Sus scrofa: one gene and its partner. The protein of the gene in region 1 interacts with the protein of each later gene in a biochemical or structural test. Links are inferred from orthologs where the notes say so. Each region holds a gene or a part of one and is shown on either strand. Other genes may lie near its edges.

Evidence for each region.
Region 2: the proteins of POU2F1 (region 1) and POU2AF1 are reported together in a solved structure, tested with the Homo sapiens proteins (2 studies listed by BioGRID, with this or other methods). The link is inferred for Sus scrofa from reciprocal best matches to the Homo sapiens genes POU2F1 and POU2AF1.

What each region holds. Positions count from the first base shown.
Region 1 is NC_010446.5:83,622,909-83,626,558, reverse strand, and holds part of POU2F1 (POU domain, class 2, transcription factor 1), read left to right. Parts: intron 1-1,665; coding exon 1,666-1,807; intron 1,808-3,650. UniProt on the Homo sapiens protein: Transcription factor that binds to the octamer motif (5'-ATTTGCAT-3') and activates the promoters of the genes for some small nuclear RNAs (snRNA) and of genes such as those for histone H2B and immunoglobulins.
Region 2 is NC_010451.4:39,124,203-39,127,709, reverse strand, and holds part of POU2AF1 (POU domain class 2-associating factor 1), read left to right. Parts: intron 1-2,209; coding exon 2,210-2,340; intron 2,341-2,804; coding exon 2,805-2,847; intron 2,848-2,937; coding exon 2,938-3,203; intron 3,204-3,507. UniProt on the Homo sapiens protein: Transcriptional coactivator that specifically associates with either POU2F1/OCT1 or POU2F2/OCT2. It boosts the POU2F1/OCT1 mediated promoter activity and to a lesser extent, that of POU2F2/OCT2. It recognizes the POU domains of POU2F1/OCT1 and POU2F2/OCT2.

The DNA of each region.
Region 1 (3,650 bases):
TTCCTCTGAGCCATGACAGGAACTCCTGAAATAGTATATTTAGAGCTGTCAATAAAACTTTCTGAGGTAATGGAACTGTTATGTAATTGTGCTGTCCAGTACAATAGCTACTACTATCTACATGTGACTATTGAATAACTTAAAAGGCAGCTAGGGCTTCTGAGGAACTGAATATTTAATTTATCTGATTTGAATTAATTTAAATTTAAATAGCCATATGTGGCTGGTGGCTATCCTATGGGAAAGATTAGAATATAGATCAGTTCAGCTGGGGTTCAAGTACTCTTGGTGCCTCATTTTATCTTCTAGTTGCAACATTTCCCTTCTTAAACTTTTTGTCAGAAGTAACTCACCAGTAAGAAAATAGAGTTTAAAAAGAAATGTTTTTTCATTTCCCTGACTGCCACGTAATCAGGTGCTAATAAGTACTGTACTATCCAAAAGATGGATTATAGGAGTTCCCTTGTGGTGCAGTGGGTTGAGGATCTGGCATTGTCATTGCAGTGACTTGGATCACTGCTGTGGCACAGGTTCAATCCCTGGATCAGGAGCTTCCACATGCCATGGGCATAGCCAATAAAATAAAATAAAAGAAGGTAAATTAAAAAAAAAAAAAGATGAATTTAAGCAAGAGAAATCAAAGGACTCTGGTAATCCTAATTCAAAATGGATGTTGCCAGGATATGGGAGTTGGCTGTCCTTGGTAAGATTAGCTATGTAGTATTTTGGACCAGAAATGTTGCCTTTCTGCCGTCCCTAAACTAATTGAAATAAGACCATGAATTATTTTCACTCCATGAGCTTCTATTACCTATACATACAATAATGATTCAAATATGGCTTTTCCAGCTTTAGCAAGAGAGATTCACATGGAGGAAAAGCACTGTATACGTTTCAAAGGTTATAGGCTTACAGAGAAAGATATTTTTTTGTAATATATTCAGGGGATCATTGTTCTATTGCTATAAGGTTACCACGTTTCCAGTACCCATAAAGGTTTGACTAAATGGGTCAAACCTCTCTACTGTGAATTTCTGTCTCTATAATGGTTACAAAAGTAGTCTTTTTAGAATACCTGGTTTTTGTAACAAACTTTGAAATCCAAACTAAGGGTGGAAAGATTTTTTTTTTTTTTTTTTTTTTTTTTTTTTACTGCTTCCAGAAATACTTTACAAGAAAATAAAATAAAAGGATGAGGCATTTAAAGTGATTTATGGGAAGTTTGGTTAGTTCAGAAACACCTAAGTTTATCTAGACAGTTACATGTTTTAACCCTGTGGTGATAGAGATGAACTGATTTTTAAAAATTACATAACTCACTCTGGTTGCATCAATTAACGGATTTGGTAGAATATCAGCACTATTTTTTGAGAGTTGGTGGAAACATTTGATATCTCAGTTATTATAAAGGTAGCAAGAAAGAGATTCAAGATAGATTATGGGACGGTTGTGAATATTGTCATGATCAAGGCCCAACAGTCTTCACTACAATATTGTGCTTAGTTTAGGGGTGGATTTTGTGGGACTCACTAAGTGGAATGTGTTGATTCTTTGTCTAGAACAGTTATTGGAGTAGCACCCTGGAGTGAAGGCTGTAAACTTTAGTGAGATGAGTCTTTTCTTTCTCTCTTCCTCTTCCCTCTCCTGCTCTATATTACTCTGCAGGGCGATGTTGGGCTTGCTATGGGTAAACTGTATGGAAATGACTTCAGCCAAACTACCATCTCTCGTTTTGAAGCCTTGAACCTCAGCTTTAAGAACATGTGCAAGTTAAAGCCACTTCTGGAGAAGTGGCTAAATGATGCAGGTGGGTGAATATATTAAAAATTTCCTCATTTTCCATTGAAATTTCACAGGAGGTATTATTGTATAAATTGAGGTTTATGGTTCTTATTACATTATTGATACTACAGGACCTTGAAACTCACTAATTTTGGAAGGATCAGTATAAATTATGACTACATAAATTGGAAAGCTAATTCATTTAAATAATCTAGTAATTACAAGGTATATAATCAGCAATACTTTTTAGCCTTGGAATATTTCTTGTATTTGAGCCCAGGGTGAGGGACAGCTGAAAGAAGAGGATAAGAAAGGCTATATATTTAAATAAACTTGAAAAATAAGATTATTGGTTCTTCCAATGAATTGTGATAAATTTGTTCCTATAATATTTCTGCTTTGTTTTTTAAAATGACATATATTGGTATGTATATACAATGGAATATTATTCAATCACTTGTTCTTAAAAAAGTCATACACGGAGTTCCCATCGTGGCTCAGTGGTTAAGGAATCCGACTAGGAACCATGAGGTTGCAGGTTCCATCCCTGGCCTTGCTTAGTGCGTTAAGGATCTGGCGTTGCTGTGAGCTGTGGTGTAGGCCAGCGGCTACAGTTCCGATTAGACCCCTAGCCTGGGAACCTCCATATGCCATGGGTGCAGCCCTAGGAAAGACCAAAAAAAAAAATAATAATAAAAAATAAAATAAAATTAAAATAAAAAAGTAATACAAATGAATTATATACAAAACAAACAGATTCATAGACATAGAAAGCAAACTTACAGTTACCAAAATGGGAGAGGGAGAGAGGAAGGACATATTTGGAGTATAGGTTTAATAAATACAAACTACTATGCATAAAATAGATAAACAATGAGGATTTACTGTATTGCACAGAGAATTATATTCAGTAGTTTGTAATAGCCTATAATGGAGTATAATCTGAAAAAAAAATTTTGTAACTGAATCACAGCAAAGTGATTCAGTTACAGCAAAGTGATTCAGTTACAAAATATTGTGAATCAACTATATTTGTTTTTTTGTAAATGACCATATATTTCATACATTGAAATTGAGCTGTTGGTTTTTGGGGGGTTGTTTGTTTGTTTAACTTTATGGCTGTACCTGCAGCATGTGGAATTTTCTGTGCCAGGAATTGAATCTGATCCACAGCTGAAACCTATACCGCAGCTGAGGCAATGCCAGATCTTTTAATCCATTGTGCCTGGCCAGTGAATTGAACCCACATCTCCATAGTGGCCTGAGCCACTACAGTCAGATTCTTAACCCACTGTGCCACTGCAGGAACTCTGTTAGTTTTAACTTAAGTGTTTTGTGCTGAGGTTTCCTTTTGGAAAATTTGAATTTTGAGTCACAGAATCATTGACCATGAGAGCTGTAAGGAACCATAGAGATCCCCTATACTATGGTTCCCCCTATAAATGTGGGCATAAATCAGGTCTTTGGAAAAGACAGACCTATAACTTCCAGCCTTATGTAGTCTGATTTTGTAGTTCTGGGTTTGGCTCACTGGTCTCTTCCCTCCATCTCATTTTTTTGTAGAGTGGAAAGAAACTCAGAGAATTCTGTGACATGCCCAGGGTCATTAAACAGAACCTTGTTTAAACTTTAAAGTGTATAGAAGTGTTTCATTATGTGTCTGGTTTGGGGGAAGGGAAATACCAATGAAATAAAATGAGAGGTCATTTGCAAGATAAATGTTAAACATTGAATATTTTCCAAGAAGCTTTCTTCCTTTTATCCTTAGAGCTAATAAATAAATCAGCAAACAACACCAAAACATAAGAACAGAACTGAGAAGACATAGAGTTAAGGGTAGGGGTAGTAAATTTCTGCTTTCTCAGAAA
Region 2 (3,507 bases), on another chromosome or scaffold:
CACAAGAACCGTGTGAGATAGGAGCTATTATTTCCATTTTACGGATGAGGCAAGTGAGGCCTAGGGATATAAAATAGATCAACTGAGACTTTTTCACCAAACACTGACCACCCAGATTTAAATACAGGTATTGTTAGCTCTTAAGTCCATCGTCACTGATGCTTAAATGAAGTTGATGGTGCATAAGTGGTCCCAGGGCACGGGTACCAGGCTGGTTCTCTCTGTGACCCACTACCGCTTCAGCCTGAATCTCAAGTTGTAACTGTTCTATTCTTGCCTCTCCCACCAGATGGCAAGATGCGTGCAGGCAGGTGTGTCTTGCTCAGTGCTGGCTTCCCAGCGCCCTGCCATATTTGAGAGAATGAAGGAATACCAGGCAAGCGCCCTTCTTAGGACAGGAGAGGTTAATCTCCTCTTGGGATGTTAGGGGGAGATCAGGGTTGAATTAGCAGTGGGTCTCATTCCAGCAGAGTTTCAGAATCACCTGAGGGATTTTGATGTGGATCCATAAGCCCACATCAGACCCCAGGAATCAGACTTTCTGGGAGTGGGGCCTGGGCATCTGTATTTTGCATCACTCCCTCATTGCTCCTGCAGCTTGGTCAGACTAGGAACCTCTGTGAATGCATCTGAGTCTGGGGTTCTTGGCTTCTGTGTCATATGTTCCCGAGGCTCTTGGACACCCCCTCCCTCTTCCCCTGCTTTTCTGCCTGGGCTTCGAGGACAGGCCATGTGTGTGCCCAGAGCATGGATGGAGATCTGGTGCTAGTCAGGCCTGGGGTCTTATCAGCTGGGTATTTACTGAACAAAGTTCAGTTAGGGCAGCACTGTGGATCCGGGTTTAATAAATACCTAGGCTTCTGGGCTTTTGATGCAGAGCCCGAGCCCCTGGGCCTTATCAGTGGATGATAGTAGACTCCCAGTGTGAGTCGTAAGGCCCAGCGCTACTCACCTCTCGTGGCTGACCCAGGCCTGCCCTCCAAGGGCCTGAGGCTGCAGGCTGTGAGCCGTCTGGGAGGGCAGACTCTCATTGCCCAGCCATGGCTGCTTTTGGCTTGCTCTCCTGGCCAGGGAGAGCCCTGGGTTCCAGCTCATGGTGCTTTGGTTTCCTGGCATTGATGATAGAAAGCAAAGGAAACTTCTCTCAGCAGCAAGCCTGGACTTTGGCCCAGGGCACACGAATCACCAGTGGGTATTTGTCCTATGTCCTGGGAGCCACAGAGAACCTGGAAACCATTCACTGCAGCCCAGTCTAAAGGTCCGGGAGGGGTGAAGGGAAGATGAATGAATCATCATCCAACCAAATTAATCAATAAAGAACTTACTGAGTTCATAATGAACATGCCGCGTGGAAGGATACAGAGAAATAAGGTATAATCTTTCCCCCCGAGGAGTTTGTAATCTGGTTATAGGGGTATAAGAAATTTACGGCAAAAAGGATTATCAACTATTATACAGCAGACTTCAAATGTCTTGAAAGCTTCCTCTGTACCTGATTTTATACTAAGCATGTATCATGCTTCCCATGTGCTATGTCAGGGACTCCTTATGACACCCCTTTGATAGGAAACTGCAGGTTAAGGAGCACAGAGAGATTTAGTAACTCACCCAGAATCACACAGCCAGGATGTGGCAGGGGCGGGTTTTGAGGCCTGTGGCATCTGACTCAGAGTCCCTGCTCTTGTGCCGCCCTCTGCTGCCCCCTCTGATGAATGCTAATAAGCCTGGAAGTGTTGAAGAGGCAGCAGGCTGAAGCAAATTCTGTGGACTGCAGTGGTCAGCTGGGGGGTGCACTAGACTTGGGTCAGGAAGACTCAAGAGGGTGAGATAAGTGAGGGGGAATCCTGACAGTGGGAAATAACCAGTAAGGATAAGGAGGGGAAAGAGTCGAGGAAGATGGAGAGGCGTCTAGATAGACCTTCTGGTGGGAGTCAGGCCTTGCGTAAGGGTTAGTGTACAGAGGGGTTGGGTATGTGGGTTGAGATCATACTAGTGCACTTGGGCCTTAATCGTCTGGGTAGAAGGGAGCCCTAGAAGGTTGGAGGCAGGAGAAATGATAACCCTGGGAGGAATAGCCCGGGAAGTCTGGCGGGTTCCTGTGCCTTCAGGCCCAGCTTTGATGAGCCGGCAGACCCTGGAGGAGAGCGAGCACATTGGGGTGGGGGCTGGCTGGGAGGAGAGATGAGATCCAGTGCCCCTCTCTTCACAGCCGCAGCTCCAGAGCAGGCCCCGGCACCACCCCGGCCGTACCAGGGTGTGCGCGTGAAGGAGCCGGTCAAAGAGCTGCTGCGGAGGAAACGAGGCCATGCCAGCAGCGGGGCACCTGTGGCACCAACCGCGGTGAGGGACTGCAGTGGCCCGAGTGTGTGTGTGTGTGTGTGTGTGTGTGTGTGTGTGTGTGTCGGGGGCGGGGGTGGGAGGGTGATGAGAGGAGTTGGGCGGGAGTGTAGGTCCCTGCCCCATGGGATCCTCAACAAGGGCGCAGAGGCCACTCGTAGCTGCTGGAAGGGGGCCGTTACCAGGGCGGATGAGCAAGTGTCTCACAGGCCCTGTGGGGGTTGCCGGCTCCCCTGGAAGGTGATGGCACTGTTCCCCAAGTGCACAGCCTCCTTGCTAAATGGAGACCAGTCCCTTGAAAGTACAGGTGGTGATGGCTGGGACACTGGGCGGGTTAGTTCTAACAAGGGAGGTTCCCACCACCACCCCAGCGCCCCCTGCCCTGGGGAGGCCCCCTGGGCAGCTTCCCCCAGAGGGCCTGCCCGAAGTGCTGAACCCTGAGCTTGGTCCTCCCTTCTCCCCTCTAGGTGGTGCTGCCCCATCAGCCCCTGGCGACCTACACCACAGTGGGTAAGAGCTCCCCGCCGCCCTGGCCTTCTCCAAGCCCTCCGCCCCCACCCATGTGACACCTGCCACTCTGGAACTTCCTTCTTCCCACAGGTCCCTCCTGCCTCGACATGGAGGTCTCTGCTTCCACAGTGACGGAGGAGGGGGCGCTGTGCACCGGCTGGCTCTCCCAGCCCGCCCCGGCCGCTCTCCAGCCCCTAGCCCCGTGGACGCCCTACACTGAGTACGTGTCCCACGAGGCTGTCAGCTGCCCCTACTCAGCTGACATGTATGTGCAGCCCGTGTGTCCCAGCTACACGGTGGTGGGGCCCTCCTCTGTGCTGACCTACGCCTCCCAGCCGCTCATCACCAATGTCACGGTATGTCACACGAAGGCCTTTCTGCACCCACCCCTGTGAGGGAACCCTCTAAGCACAGGGCTGACTTCCTGCTCCCTGATGTTCCTTGCTGTGGATTCCCAGGAAAATCAGGTCCTCCAAGCCCACCCCATCCTCCAGGGAGGCCTGCTTTCATTTCTGATGACTTCAAATATCTTTCCCCCAAAGGCTCTGGTCTCTTTTGTCATGGCTTATGCTCCTGCCTCTCTGTCCTAAGTCTCCCCCACTGCCTCATATGCAGGAGTCTCAGTGAGGAGTCTCAGTTTTTACTGAATGGGAGACCAGG